2 linked regions of the Bombyx mori genome follow. The protein of the gene in region 1 purifies or fractionates together with the protein of each later gene. This does not show direct contact. Links are inferred from orthologs where the notes say so. Each region holds a gene or a part of one and is shown on either strand. Other genes may lie near its edges.

Region 1 (7,912 bases):
AAATAGGCAGGGCGGTGGTACTTACTACCACCAGTAAATAAAACCAGTAATTACCACCAATAAAGTTCTTTTAAAACTTAATAAAGCCCCTTAATAAAACTTAATAAAAAAATAAAAATAAACTAATAGAAGGTAAAGAGAAATCGCTTACAGAGTCGAAAATGTTGCTGACAAACGAGCACGACTTGTAAAGCGTACAAAAGCACGTCGCGAGTTAGTACGCTTTACATTACAGGCCGACGAATATGAATATAAGCAAGCAATACTAGGACCCCGTCACAGTAGCACTGAAACTATTCATGTGATGTTTATAAGCCTTGTCAACCTTGTTCGTCACGTGGGCCGTGGGCTCGTCTACCCGGGCACACAATAGTGTAGGAGCATGGACAGCTGCTCCGTGACGGCCCCCTCGAGGGGGGTAACGTATCAGTACCTCAGGCTCAGAATGCTCAAGGAGCGGGAACAGTTTCTCGTGCGCGAGATCTCTGACTCCCGTCCATCGCGCCGCCTCGAACCCGCGCCACAGCCGGCCCAGGCTGATGCAGATCCACTGGGCCAGTACCGGCTCCCTGTCGCCGAGCTGCTCGAGGCATATCGATATCATTGAGCCCTGCCAATCGAAATTTTCATTTAGTTTCATTTCTTACGTACGTCTTGCAGCAGCTGACCGTAGATACACAACACATGCGATGCGGTCCGAGGGCTCACCTGCAGCGCGGCCTCCTGCCCCGCCGGGTAGCCGTCCACGATGCCAGCCAGCACGTAGGCGGCCAGGGTGCGGTGCTCGCTCTGCAGAAACGGAACTATTTCAATGGAAGATGATCCTGATTGAATGCTACGTGCATGGCCCTAGTGTCGCAGGCTATAAGATTGAAACAATTGGAAAGTGTAGTCCACGGGCTCTGATAGACAATCAATCCCATATGAACTATAAGCTCGTCTATCAATTTAGTGTATAGTGTACTTTTCAATCCCATTGTCTTGCGTACCCTCCCCCCCGCGCGGCGTGCACCTTGCTGCGGGTACTTACGTCGACTGTAGGGTCTTGCAGTACGGACAGGAAGTACGTGTGCCCTTTAGCGTTGACTAGGTCCGCTTGACAGCTCTGAAACAATTAATGATTAATTAAGTACAATTAAGAAATACCATTTCGTTTCGTTCTGCACTCAAAATATGTGTAAAAGCATTAATACCGTTTAATTTGCATTTACACTATTTGATTCGCTGAAATTGCCAGCACTTGTTTTTTTGGCCGAGGGAATATAAAATGAACGAAATGTATAAGTAATACAAACCGGATCGACCGCGATGATCCTGGCCCAGATGTAGACCATGGAGGCGCGCAGCACCGGCGCGGAGGCCTGCAGCAGCTTGAGCATGTAGGGGAATATCCCGACGGCCAGCATGGCGCGCACCGCCCACGCGCCCAGCGCCAGGAACCGGCACAGCAGCTGCAGCGCGCGCACCCGGTGCAGCGTGCTCAGCAGCACCTGCAGCACCATCGGCAGCTGCTCCGGCACGCCGCGCCCGCCGCACCCTGCAGCGCACTCTCCCTCACTCTCTCTCTCGCTCCCTCTCCCTCCCTCCCCTAAACTACACTATACCAGTCATAGACAACGGCCTGGCTATTGCTGACCATGAGCACCGGTAACCACTCACCATCAAGTGAGCCGTATTATACTCGCTTGCGGTATTATTTTGGGATTGTTTACAGGCCCCGCAGGCCGGCCCGCCCCCGCGAGCTGCTGTCCATGCGCTACCAAGTGCTGCCGGTTACCACGGTTTCTAGTAAGCACTCACATTTACCGAGATCTAGCCAGACTTGGAAGGCGGTGAGCTGATCCCTGAAGAACGGCGAGTGGGAGTAATCCAGCGGATGTGGAGCCGAAGATAACGTGACCAGCTGGGCCAGCGCCGAGTCCAGGGTCTGCTCCCACGCCGCCCACAGCGGGTGCGCGGCCAGTGACGGCAGCGCCGGACTGCTCACGGGGGTGCAGTTGTATGATCTAGGAGTATGCAAGTAAGGGTGGATTTTCCAAAACATTATATTAATAGGAATGTAAAATATGTATTTATTATTTTCTATATTGCATTTTGGGCGCAGCAACAAATAGTTAAATGAAGAATGTTGTTTGTTACAAAGTGTCAATGACATGCAAAGGACAATACCCAAAAATGTCAAATGTCCTTTATTCTCAATAATATAACAATATAAAATAACAAAAAAAATATTAATCTACTACTGTAATTAAAAGTTCAGAAGTTTTATACAGCCTCGCAGAGTTCTTAGTTCTGATCGGTTACGAGACATCACAATGCTATCGTGGTGGGCCCCACCAGCTGTAAAAGCACCAACCTCATAATCCTGTCGGCGAGTAAGAAGTTCCTGCAGAGGCTGGCCGTCAGCAAGTCGGCCCTGAACAGCTGCTGGAAGAGGTCGGCGGGCAGCGAGCTCCAGGCGATGGTGTCGGTGATGGCCGTGAAGATCCAGTTCAGTTCGCCCAGCATGGTGCGGCGGTCCGTCACTTGGCCAGGGATCCTGGACAACAAATTCAATGTACTTTAAAAACTAATTACACACGCTTTCATATGAAAAACTGAATACAAATTTAAGTAATAATTTTTTAGTTCAGTGCTCCTGGTCAGCATATCCCGATATCAAAGTAACAAGACTGTAGTCTCGTTATCTCCCCTTGGTGCGCGCGTAACTATCCAAGCTGATCTGAGGTCGTGGAGCCGGGTCGTTGCATTGAGGTTTCATCACATATATGAGTCGTCTATTATCAAAGGTGGCAATCTGTGCATTTGGACAAAAAAATGTTATTGATATGTCAATACAGATTGATTTGAATACAATCGTCTCCTTCAAAGAATACGGTTCAAAACCTGCATTAAATAAAGGTTAATACTTAACCTGTTATTTATCTAAGATGTCGTTCAGAAGAGTTTTGTGACTGCCAATGGAATACAAAGTCAATAATTCGTTTTTCTGATTTACCAATAATTGTCCAAAAGTCACATTGCCGGCTTTGATAATAGTCGACTCACATACATGTCGAAGACTGTCATTAGTTTGGTAGCTAAACGAAACGCAGTACGATTCCCGAGAGATGGCAGCACGATCGCGATGGAGGCGCGTATAGACATCATTGACACCTACCAACCAGCCTTCTTGAAGAGCGATGCCTCCATTCTAAGAACTGGCATTCGTTTTCGTTTGCTGACGTCAAGAGAAGATTTCTAAATTGTTCTAAGACAACAAACGTGTTTTATGTACTCAATATTTCTTTTAGCTCGATCACCCTATTCGCCCCTACGATGTCTGACGATGGTGTTAATAATGCGGTTTCTCCGACATACATATCGATACAGGTCAAGCTGATAAAAATCTGTTGTCAATAACCGACTGCACAGTAGGGATGGCGATTCGAGATCGATTAATCGAAGGATCGATTTCTCGAACCAAAAAAAATATCGATTTTTAAATCGATATGTAGTTCTGACTCGATTCAGTGAATCGATATTTTACCCTTGATATTTCACCCAACTGCACAGACTTCTGTAACTATTCGAACACAATTACTCACGCAAGACTACTCATGGCTAGAAGCGTACATGGCCTAATAGATAAGACGCCCAGTGTACTTGTAGCCTGCAAACATGTCATTGATCAACCCTGTTTGCCTTAGGCCAATACAAATTTTTCTTAAAGTTATTCATCATTTTTATATAGTAAAAATATATTATACTGTGATAATTACACCATAAAATGAATCTCTTGTTCGATTTTTACATGACTTGAATACTACAGTGGAACTGCGAATGTCCACAGGCAACTGTTATCACCGAGCACCACCACAACACGAGATTAAGAGACGATACTGACTTATCGATGAGGTCGTGCAGGTCCCTGTCGGCGTATCTGGTCCGGGTCCTCAGCACGAACCACTTCATGGCAGTCTTGACCGGCGTGGTGAGGCAGGCCGTGAACAGGTCCGCGGGCAGCTCCGGGTTCATGGGCAGGCTCTGTCCGGCGGCGCAGGCGGCCAGCTGGATGCAGTTCTTGTACGAGACCTGAGGGATGCTCGAAGTGCCTTCTTCATTCTTCTGAGCCTGTCCACAAATGATGAATTAAAACTGTGTATCTCAACTTTTTCACCTACAATGTTGTCACCCTATGAAGCGTTCACATGAACCCTACATAGTACTGATAAAACAGATTACCATATTATTGTTTCTGTAGCAAATGCTCTAGTTTTACTTAGTATGAATATCGAAGGGTGACGGGTTATAGAGATATTTAAACGAAGTTTTTGCAACCTTAAGAAGAGTCACTTAAAGTTTAAAATTTGGAAAAAAAATCCTAATTAAACTTAATTCAAGGTCAATTAAAAACATCGAACTGTTGATGCTATTACTAAATAAAACACACTTTTAATTACAAAGATAAACATCGTTCAAACGAATTAGCCTTTCACCCCCTTGGTTTAACAAATATCATATAGCAGATACCTCGTACTCCCTCTCGTGTTGATCAGCAAACAACTTGAAGCTGTCGACAATGATGCCGGCGTTGGAGCAGTCGTACACGTAGAGCGAGGGCGCGCCCATCCACGTCTGCAGGTCGTACATCGACAGCGGGATGTACTGGGTGTAAGTCTGGGGACAAATACCTTAGTTTTATTTTTTAGTTTGGTTTTTATTAATTTGTGACATCTAAAGATGTCGGCGCAACGTCACTATTTAGTAACTAATATTAGTTAAAGTTAACTGGTTCCGCTGGATGGCGTGAGCATTAAAATAGGTACGTTGAGATTTTCATCTGAAACTTCAAGATGAGTGGCATCTTTCTACTTACGTGTACTGTCTCATCTGTTATCTGCACAAGTTTGCCTAGTTCTGAACTTTTTATTTATTGCTTATATGGGTGGACGAGCTCACGGCCCACCTGGTGTTAAGTGGTTACAGGAGCCAATAGATATCTACAATGTCATCAAATGCCACCACTCACCTTGCGATATGAATTCTAAAGTCTCCGAAACGCATTACTGCTTCATGGCAGAAACAGGCGGGGTGGTTGTACCTACCTGTGCGGACTCACAAGACTTTCTACCACCAGTAACATTGAGCGGTTTCTTTTATTTTGTATATCAAATCTAATGAAACCATGCATTTTTCAAATGCGTACTTAAAAATTTTCAAGTGTGTATCGTATTGTGATCGCCATTTTTTCATTATTAAAAACTAAGTTTTTTTTTATTGCCCTTGCAGGTAGACGAGCATACGGCCCACCTGAAGGTGAGTGGTTACCGTCGCCCATGGATTTCAGCAATGCCAGGGGCAGAGCCAAGCCGCTGCCTACAAAATTAAAGCCGCTGTCTAAATTGATTACAATTAAAAACTCACCCTATTAAAGACCCAGATCTCTCCCTGCGCCGTCGGCTTGGGTACGCCGTGTCCGTTGTAATGAAAAAGCACGCGTTCATCTTTCGCGTTACGTCGCAGAGAGCAGCACAACTTTTTTACCTGTAAAACCAAACAATGAGTTACTTTTTGTACGACTTACGACCACCTTACAACCGATAGACGTAAATGAAGATGAAAAAAAAGGTTCGTATTCAATTTTATAAATTAATCCGGATAATCGTATATTGAATAAAGGCTTTTTTTCTTACATATGCTACTAGCCTCGAAGAATTATACTAGCTTCACCAAACGTGTAGGTAAGCTCACGGGACTCAGCCTGGCGAATTTGCTAACACTAACCCTAACAAGGGAAGTGCTTCGCTGAATCTATCACTGGATCGGAATCGCGACCTACTAAGAAGATCCGCCGAGAAACTCATTGAACTGACCTACTAAGAAGATCCGCCGAGAAACTCATTGAACTGACTTACTAAGAAGATCCGCCGAGAAACTCATTGAACTATGTCTGCGGGTTAGTTCGAACTCTTCGTATGACGAGAACAGTAGCCAGTGCTTGTTGGGCCTAAAAGAGCCGAGAGTGGATCCGGGAGATCAGACGTTATATTTTAATTTAAAGCTTATGCTTATACAGTTTCGACAAGCTCGCCGGGCGCGGCGTCTGCTATCATAATTATTATTGAGCGATGGCAGCACATCCGAAACTTCTCTTAGAAGGCGCTTGCACTCTTAATCTTGGAAACACAGTTACTGGATTGACAAGCAAGTTTTTTTGGGTAAAATTAACTTAAAATATACATTAATCTATTTACAATTATAATTTTTATGACGACATTTTTTTTCAGCGACACTGGGTTTTTGAGATTGATAAATCGAGAATTTTTCTGCGTAATACCCTCTTAACCGGACTTGACAACCCTAACGACCTGTACTGCATCCAAGTCGAGCGATTACTGTGTCCCCGATGATCTAAATCATCACTGCGAAAATGTGTACAGTGTGTTTAGGGCGAGTTTTTTAACTTCTCGCAGCAAACGAAGGGAAGACGTTCCAACTCCATACAAATTTGAGTTAACTTTTGCGCGATCGAAAAGTTAAAAAACTCGCACTAAACACACTTATCGATAGTTGTCCCTGACCAATAAAACTATTAATAAAAAGGTTGGAATTAAATTATAAAGTTGTTAAAATAGTTTTTTTTTGTGACGAATAAATTCCTAGTTTTGCGGCATTAAAAATATATGAAAAAACACGCGATCGGTGCAAAATCTTATTTTTATTGGAGGTGTATGATCATAGCAACGTGTCATTTCATATAATACCTACGAAACGCGCATAAATAAAGTCTGTATAAACAGAAGGTGACATCGGAAAGACCGAAATAAAACGCCGGTCACGGTGTGAATCATACGTTGATTCACAAAAACACGAAGAGCGCAATTAGAATCAATGAATTTTTTTTGCATTTGTACTGATATTAAGTCCAAAAAACTACGGTAATGACAGAGAAGACGTAAACGTAAATAGAGCACCTGCTGTGTTGCAAAACGTACACGTGTGACCTCTTGTCACACCTCTTGTGGGTCCGCACGGGTAGGTACCACCGCCTTGCCTATTTCTGCCGTGAAGCATTAATGCGTTTCGGTTTGAGGGTGGGACAGCCGTTGTAACTATATTGAGACCTTAGAACTTATATCTCAAGGTGGGTGGCGCATTTACGTTGTAGATGTCTATGGGCTCCAGTAACCACTTAACACCAGGTGGGCTGTGAGCTCGTCCTTAGATGGGTATCTAAGGAATAAAAAAATAAAAATAAACCCTGAAAAAGACCAAACACGCGTTTATTTTACGATTTCCGAGACAAAAGTGTCTAAAATTATTTACGAACTGGTCTAATTAAAATCGCATTTCATTTTTGATGTTTTCAATCTTAAAACACCAGTATAATATATTTTTAAATTATGTTGTTATAACTGAAAATTTCAAGTATATTAGCGCTTTAGTTTTTTTTTATTGGATTTTTTTTTATTGCTTTGCTGGGTGGACGATCTCACAGCCCACCTGATGTTAAGTGGTTACTGGAGCCCAAAGACATCTACAAAGTAAATGTGCCACCAACCATGAGATATAAGTTTTAAAATCTCAGTATAATTACAACGGCTGCCCCACCCTCAAACCGAAACGCATTACTGCTTCACGGCAGATATAGGCAAGGTGGTGGTACCTACCCGCGCGGATTCACAAGTGATCCTACCACCAGTAAGAGATCGATTAATATTGACCATTTTCTTGTTTACCTACAGTATGTTTCTACTTAACTACTTTCGTAATTACGTAGGAGCAAGCTGAGCGTTTTGAGCTGGCCTTAAACTTAATAAGAACATGTACCAAAACATCATTTGGTTCATTGCGGGAGCGGTCATAGCGACCTTAGCTGACACGAAACACGCGACCTCGCGATAAATTCGATTGACCGAGCTAATTTACG
Region 2 (8,697 bases), on another chromosome or scaffold:
TTTTAAAAAGAGATTTCACGGATATACGTAGTACAAGAACCATTGTGACATTTGGACTGTTGGTACACCTGATGATTTTAGCCAATCAGAATTCGTGTAGATGGCGCCACCTTAGCGACGCGAGACGGCCCCAAGCTAGCTTCGACTGGGAACATTTTGTTCGAGCCCCATACATTTCTTCACATTCTCTACGTCTACAGTTTGGTTGTGTACCAGTTCAAAAATTATTTCAAAATTTTTGCCATCAGGTAAGTCCAATCAATTTTCTATTCAAAGTTGAACAATTTGTCAAGTTTATTAGTGATTCTCAAGCCTTGATTCATAGGATTTATTTTCATTCCACGTTGGAATTCGCATTCAAACATGGCTATATGCATCGCCGTACTTTCCTTGGTACGCGTGGGTAAGGAGAGTGACGCCTTATTTCAATAATTAATTTCTCGGATCTTTTCCATTGAGTGACCCTAACAGTTCTTCTACAAGTTTTAGTTTAATAATCAAAGGATTATTTGGTAATCCTGTCCTTTAAAGATATTGCGTATTTTCTACATAATTCGTGAAAACAAAATGGCTCGTTCGACCCAAGCCTAGGACAGTGAACTCGTTAATGGGGCGATAACTATTTTAGATGTTTTATGCTGTTATGGATACGAATATGTTAGTCTAATTCGTAGGTTTTCATATTGATTAAATATTATTTATGGCTACTGTTACAATCTTGGTCCTAAATGGCCTAAATACGTTTCCCGCCAAAATGACGCCCTGTTACACCGTATAAGCAGTGCGTAGACCGTCTAGAGCTTGAAGTTCGTAAAACGTGACTCTTTGAACCTGCTGCCTTGTGGGAAGCGAAGTATTTTTTAGAGAGCATGGTATTTCTTCCAGGAAAAAAGTCAAAATGACGGACAAGCCGAAGCGTCCTATGTCCGCATACATGCTGTGGTTAAACAGCGCGAGGGAACAGATAAAATCTGAAAATCCTGGCTTAAGAGTAACCGAAATAGCCAAAAAAGGCGGTGAAATTTGGAAATCAATGAAAGACAAAACTGTAAGTACAATGATTGAAATAAAATGTGATTTATTATCTAGCGCGTTACAATAGAGATTCATAATTGAAATTACTTTAGGAATGGGAACAGAAAGCTGCCAAGGCCAAGGAGCAATATGCAAAAGACCTAGAATCTTACAATGCCAATGGCGGTGGTGGCGAAGGGGGCGAAAAGAAGGCTCAAAAACGAGGGAAAAAGGGCAAGAAAACTGCTGCTGCTGTGAGTAAACAAATTCTTCAATATTAAAAGCATTTGTTGAATCTTTAAACAACAATTATTTTATTGCAGAAATCCAAGAAAAAGAAGGAAGAGTCTGAGGAAGAGGAAGGTGAGGAGGAGGAAGAAGAAAGTGAATGATCTCCCAAACCTTAAGACATTACTGTTCATATTGAATAAGGACTTAATTTATTACAAAGTAAAACGGGACTGACTTTCCAAAGTCTGTATGAAATGCATTTGACATTGATTTTGATTAACATTTAATGAGAGTTGGAATCATCTTTAACTGCAACTGGTATTTTGTTTATAAAATGCAATTAAATAATTCATTTCTTGATTCAATATTCCTTTAATTTTCTTGATATTGTAGTGTTAGTTATGATAGATATAAAATAAGATGCAGAGTTTGGAAAGTTTTGCCGCACACTAGGGTCTAGGTTTCTAAGCCTCAAAAAAATAATGTGTAAGTGTTAGCATGTATTTCACCAGGGAATTGTACAGTTAGCCCTCCCTCGTTAAGTTCGCTGTGACTTTGTGGATGCTTATTTTGAGATATACTTTTGACTGGTTTTATCAAAACTTCTATGTCTGCACCAATATCTAATTAAAGCTGTGCTTTTTATGAATTATTTTATATCGATTCAGTTTTATTTTAATGCTGAACTATTGGACATAAGTTTTGGTGTAACTATCAATATGTAAAATTAGAGACTTATTATAATGTCTACTCCTTGGAAGGATATTGCACCCGCTTGTTCAAACCTACCTCTTCATTGTAAATTCATTGCTAATAATGGTACCAAACAATAAGCTTAAGCATTTGTCGAGGTTACCTCGTGGCTTTATTTAGGACTTATGCATATTATAAAACTATACCACATAAGTGTCATTTTAATCTTGAGACTCGCCTTTCAGGTGAATTCTAGCATAGATTTGTGGCATTACCATAAAAATAATCTTAAGAAATTCATGTGTATGTTGTATTTTAGTTAGTTATAGGTAGGTTGTCGATGTGATTTGTCTCTCAAATTTTACATTTGTGTTATATTGTAAATGAGAATTAGCATTCCTCATGTCAATACGGATTTTACATGTTCAATAAAGTAATTTCTTATAATTAGTGTTTTAATTTCAGTTCATACATAGGTTAGTAACTGAGCAACCTGGCTGATTGGATTTGCAGTTTCAGTAATAGGTCATTGGTCATATATAGACACTAATTTTCGTAGCAGGTATAAATATTTTCGACCAAGTTAAAAGAACTGTTATCGTACTTTAGGGATGGAACTGAACATAGACTTTACTAGAAGTCTTGAGGGTATAAAATGTAGGTGGGTACCTACATTAATTACTTAAATCTAGTTCGTGATTGATCCCATCTTAGAATACTCATACTATTGAGAATTAATATTATGACTAGTCAAACTGACCATGTAAGACTGCATCCATTAGATAGGTACCTAGTTCTGTATTTCAATTTGATACCTAATATTTGATCTGATGCAGTACTTGTCTCAAGATTTTGGGTCTGGGCTTGTACCTATATCAGAAACTTGATAGGTATGCAATTCCTTGATTATCAATTTTTAAGGTTGGATTAACATGAAAATAATTTCTTGATATGTTTTAGTTTCATAATCTAGGTACCAAGATGTTGTTTCTTATTAAAATACGAAAGATTAACAAGAAAAAACCTCAAGATGGAAGCATGTATTTTTTATTTTTTTTATATTTTGACTCGCACGGTTTGTGCATTTGCCACTACTAGTGTGGAAAAGGTAGGGAAACCAGTTTTATTTAGGAATCAATTGGAAGGTTCGAAATTTGGAAAGGATATGTACGTAATAGGATAATAATATATAATAATGCCTAAGAGTTCATAATATATAGTGATTGGGTATAAATAAAAAGAATATTATATTTTAAAACTGTTTACATTTTAATATTATTAATAATGTAGGGATTGATGTGGGAAGAGGAACTCGGAGGTTTATCAGGGAATTTATGAATGAGGAACAGTCACGTAGGAGGCATCCAAAGAAAATGTGATTCAAGTCAGGTGAATGAAGTTAGCCCCTCAAAAAATTTTTTTTTCCTATTTTATACTTATTTTCTATTAATTCATTTGTTCATGATTGTTCACTGTTAATAATTGTTTGTTCTGCATTTATTTATTTAAAAAAAAATATTTAAAAATATACCTACCAGTTAGCCCCTCTAATGCAATTTTTTATATTTTTTCATCCTTAATGACTCGTAAATATTCATTTTCGATTGTTCTTATATAAAACACGTTTGTCCTCTTTCGAAATTACTCGTTTTTTGTTTAATTTACTATTTTTATTAGTTGAATAAATGTATGCAAAATATGTGTACTGCGCATGCGTCAACTATAATGCCTAAACTTTCTACGCGGTTTTAATCGTGAAAAAAAAACAAATATAAATCCTGAAGGAGCAATTAATTGGTATACAGTTTAATTAAAAAAATTAAAAAAGAAATAAATGAAATAATGTGTATTGGCGTTAAGTTAGACCAAATACATTTTTTCCATCCTCCTACTTATCGTTATGAAGGTATAAAAAAGATAGGGAGTTCACATAGGTAATATAAACAAATAAGTAAATATGTTCATTATTTATCTTTCAAGAGATAATATAGGTATACATTATAATAACTTTTTTACACAGTCGAAATTATATTCCTAACATTAGTAAAATAACATTTTAATACGATAGGTAAGAGGATGGAAAAAATGTATTTGGTCTAACTTAACGCCAATGCACATTATTTCATTTATTTATTTTTTAATTTTTTTAATTAAACTGTATACCAATTAATTGCTCCTTCAGGATTTATATTTGTTTTTTTTTTACGATTAAAACCGCGTGGAAAGTTTAGGCATTATAGTTGACGCATGCGCAGTACACATATTTTGCATACATTTATTCAACTAATAAAAATAGTAAATTAAACAAAAAACGAGTAATTTCGAAAGAGGACAAACGTGTTTTATATAAGAACAATCGAAAATGAATATTTACGAGTCATTAAGGATGAAAAAATATAAAAAATTGCATTAGAGGGGCTAACTTGTAGGTATATTTTTAAATATTTTTTTTAAATAAATAAATGCAGAACAAACAATTATTAACAGTGAACAATCATGAACAAATGATGAACAAACGAATTAATAGAAAATAAGTATAAAATAGGAAAAAAAAATTTTTTTGAGTGGCTAACTTCATTCAACTTTGAATTACCTGTGCTGTGTTGTTTTGGTTATGTTTTGACTTTATGAGATGCATTAGTTAGAATTTACAGTAATATTAAAAGCGCCCCGATAATTCGGTTCAAGTATAACGTAGATTATATCACATCATACAAGATTTATGTTGCTCGGAAAGTTCGAAATTAAAAATTAAAATCCGAAATTTCAAAATTACCTGGCAGTTGGAAATAAAAAAATGTGCTTTTAAGAAATAAATATGCCAATTGCTTAAACAATAAGTTTCATAAAATGGCTGGTGATACCACTGCTTCTCTTGGAGGATCGCAGGTGGCTTTAGTAACAGGAGGCTACGATCATACTATCAAGCTATGGCAGGCACACAGTGGTGTTTGTTTACGAACAATGCAGCATCCAGATTCGGTACTTCATATTTTAATGTTTCGGTTATTGATCTTCTATAAATGACCAAAATGACTCAATTCATTTCCAGATAACTCATTCAAATCGCTCCGTAAATTTGCATGATTATTTTAAATTTTCATAAAAAATTGATTTGGAAATTTCGCTTTGAATAATAACGAGGGCTGAAAGGCTATTTGAATTAAGCGATATTTCGATTAATACGCGACATTTATCTTTGTAATTAAAGGTCCATTTTATTTGGTATTAACTATCACCAATTCAATGTTTTTGATTGAACATCAATTAAGCTTACTGCATCCAAATAGCTGATGGACTTTTTTTATTATGAGAATTTTAAACTTTAAATGGCTCTCCTGTAAAGTTGCAAAAATGTCCAAAAAAAGAGAATTACCTAAACGATTAAAACTGGTCACGACAGTGTCAGATAATTGTGAGCTAAGATTTAATACAAGCAGACCACTTTGTACAAATATAATTCAGATTAACATGCCAGTCATCTTTTGTGAGGTAACTTAAATTAACTTTCGTGATATTTTTACAAACTGATTATATTATGAAAATCAGCTAAAGCTTATTGCATGACGAGTTTTCCTTTCAGCAAGTGAACAGCTTGGAGATCTCACCAACATCGATGGTAGCAGCAGCTGGATTTCAGCATATACGGTTATATGATCTTAGTAGTGCCAATCCAGACCCGGTCACAACTTTTGAGGACATCTCCAAAAACGTATCTCGAGTTGGGTTTCAGGTATTATGCATAAATTCAATTAAAATTTGTTGAAAACAATATATACATGACCTTCAGGTAGATTATTTGTGACCTAGGTGTCACTGACAGTAAACTACAGGAAGTACGTGTCTTTAATATATGTCTCTAAATATTTGCCAGGAATAGAAAAAAAAATATATTTCTTTTCTCAGTTCAAAACTCATTCAGTTGAAACTGGATCTTCAGTGTCCTTTAAATATTTGAGATCTCACTGGCATAGGAATTACTATAAATCTTTGAGATTATAATTATTTCTAGGGCAACAATTTGAAAAACACACAAATTGTGTCGACATGCAGTTTTTAAACAAAAACTGATGTTAAAATCAGTTATTCATTTTCAAACAACTTTTCAAGATTGTTATCTTTTAGAAAAAAAAAAAACTATGTATATTTATGATTGGATATTTAATTTGTGAACACATCTATTACAATAAGACAAGTCATTAATTTTTTTTTTTTTTAAATTGTAACTTTGCAGAAAAATGGCACTTGGATGTACACAGGAGGTGAGGACTGCACAGCCAGGATATGGGATCCCAGGTTAAAGACGCTATGTATTATATCAACCAGTTATTAGGTAACATCATTTGTGTTTTCTAACCTTGGCCAAATGATGTTTGGAGGTTTCTCTGATGCTAGATGACAATGCAGCACCTTATATCATTCGTTATATTCGTGCTTATTATAAAAGATTCACCAACTGATATTTACTGGTGGTATGAAGATATGATTCCTGCTTTAAAGCTGTCAAGTGTAATGCTAATGGTTATGGAATAAAATCAAAATTTAGATCATAGAAGCTAATAACTATTTACACTAGGAGACCATGAGGTTGTCTGCTGATCTCTGAAATTAAACTTTAACTTTTATTGAGTTTAAAAACACAATTTACTGACTGGACCTAGAAAGCTTAGTATAGAAATTTTAAAGCGGCATGTTTCTCATGTAGGGCTGCACCACGTACAAGGTGTCAAAAGATATTCCAAGTTCAAGCTCCGGTGAATGCAGTAATGCTTCATCCTGATCAGTCCCAGATAATGGTTGGAGACCAGAGTGGCATTATACATATATGGGATCTGAAAACGGATCAAAATGAACAACTGGTAACTTTACTATATATATTTTTTTACATCCACTATCAGCTGAGAAGCTATAATACAGTATGTTGTGGTGAGCTACAAAAGTGAAAGGAACACTCTATCTCCGCATCCTATTCAGTAGTGTTCCTGCATAAAAAGCTGATGCCAACATGATATCACCAATATGCTCATAATGGATATATAGAAAGGCTACTGAGGTATTTACTAGAGAATGGCCAGTAGTATTTTCTGTATATTATAACATATTTCTGCTGTCCTTAATAGGTTGATTGATGGTTGGATGTATTATAAACCCACTTGTGTATGGACCACCATCCTACCTTTTTTTTTCCACGAAACAATCATCAGTTTTGAGCATTTATGTTTTATTGATAAGCTCTAGTAATTGATCAATCATTAGCCAAGTGCCTGTCCAACCACATAATTCAATTTAAATAAACCATGTTTATTTCATTTACATGTTACACATAAATATTATACTATTTATCCTTATTTTTGTTAGATACCAGAAGCGGAGGCGTCGATTCAGGACATAGCTATTGATCCAGCCGGCAAGATGATGGCGGCTGTTAATAACAAGGGCAACTGCTACGTGTGGTCGTTGAGCGGACAACCACCGCACCCTGTGCCCAAAAAACACATTACTGCACATTCTAAATATGCTTTACGGTGTAAATTTAGCCCAGATTCAACGTGAGTTTGGAGATGTTACAGCATTTCAGTTAAAATCAACTTTAAGACATTAGATGTTGCATGTGTTTATTAAATGAGTTTATCTTGGCAATCATCATTATCCTGCCCTTCTCCCAGTCACCCGGGGTCAGCGCAACATGTTTTCTCCTTCCATACTCTTCTATCATAAGTAAAGCAAGGCAAGCAAGAAAGCAAGGCATAAGTAAGGCAATAAGTATAGTAACTTAGAAAATGTTTAATATCTGACTAATGTGATAATAGCATGTTGGTGACGACGTCGGGCGACTGCTCGGCCAAGATCTGGCGCACGAGCGACTGGGCGCTGTTGCGAGAGCTACGGCGCGACACGCAGCGATGGGTCTGGGACGCAGCCTTTACGCTTGATTCTCGATTTTTATTCACTGGTAAGACATTTTCAATTTCCTGGCAACCCAGTCAATTTTTTCAAAGTTTAAAAAAACCAGATAATTTTATTTTGTTATTTACAGGTTCATCGGATAGTTATGCTCGATTATGGAACATTGAGCGTGGCACGCTTGAACGGGAGTACTGCGGTCATCAGAAAGCCATCACAGCACTCGCGTTTAAAGATCAACCTGTTTGAATAGATATGGTTTAAAATAATTTGGGATGATTATAAAGTTTAAATAAATAAATAATAAAGTTGTAAATAATATAATAATTGAATTAATTTTTAATTGAATAAATGATTACATAGCATTAATGGTTTTTTTCTTCATAAAAAGTGTAAATGTATATTTTTATAAAAATAAACACTATTTTTAATTTTATAATTTTTATTACTGGTTATATTATTTGTCAAAAAATAGTGCTTAAACACTAGCAATGCACATGGCCAACAAAGTAGCATGTAGCAGGCAGAAAATAAATAATAGTTTTTGAATTATTATTTGTATTGTTTATTGTATTGTGTTTGTAATTACTTCGAGAAAGCGATGGTAATTGTATGTTAATGAACTAAAGTAAAGCTACTTTTATCGTTTTCATTACATCGCCTTTTTGGGATGGAAGGATAGCTGGTGACTCGAGGTTCGCCCTGAAGGGTTCAGCTAGGTGATTGTTGCATTAACAATAATAATTGGAATGGACGCAAATGACATTCATTCGCAAGTGAGATAAGTGATACAAAAATCGTATTATAAATCTGAAACATTTAAGGTAATTTCACAGAAGTATCTGAGCGTTTAAA

Evidence for each region.
Region 2: the proteins of rptor (region 1) and target of rapamycin complex subunit lst8 purify together in Homo sapiens (affinity purification with western blotting; 15 studies listed by BioGRID and IntAct, with this or other methods). This does not show direct contact. The link is inferred for Bombyx mori from reciprocal best matches to the Homo sapiens genes RPTOR and MLST8.

Annotation. Positions count from the first base shown.
Region 1 is NC_085123.1:792,157-800,068, reverse strand, and holds part of rptor (regulatory-associated protein of TOR), read right to left. Parts: intron 5,527-7,912; coding exon 5,407-5,526; intron 4,660-5,406; coding exon 4,513-4,659; intron 4,114-4,512; coding exon 3,887-4,113; intron 2,540-3,886; coding exon 2,357-2,539; intron 2,007-2,356; coding exon 1,801-2,006; intron 1,538-1,800; coding exon 1,296-1,537; intron 1,106-1,295; coding exon 1,031-1,105; intron 790-1,030; coding exon 709-789; intron 611-708; coding exon 434-610; intron 1-433. UniProt on the Homo sapiens protein: Component of the mechanistic target of rapamycin complex 1 (mTORC1), an evolutionarily conserved central nutrient sensor that stimulates anabolic reactions and macromolecule biosynthesis to promote cellular biomass generation and growth.
Region 2 is NC_085114.1:11,953,465-11,962,161, reverse strand, and holds target of rapamycin complex subunit lst8, read left to right. Parts: upstream 1-4,514; 5' UTR 4,515-4,788; coding exon of another isoform or gene 4,789-4,920; 5' UTR 4,921-5,247; coding exon 5,248-5,430; intron 5,431-5,521; coding exon 5,522-5,671; intron 5,672-6,172; coding exon 6,173-6,234; intron 6,235-6,643; coding exon 6,644-6,797; intron 6,798-7,296; coding exon 7,297-7,487; intron 7,488-7,748; coding exon 7,749-8,091; 3' UTR 8,092-8,207; downstream 8,208-8,697. Other genes in the region: mobility group protein 1B, read left to right, coding at 899-1,048, 1,128-1,268, 1,338-1,406.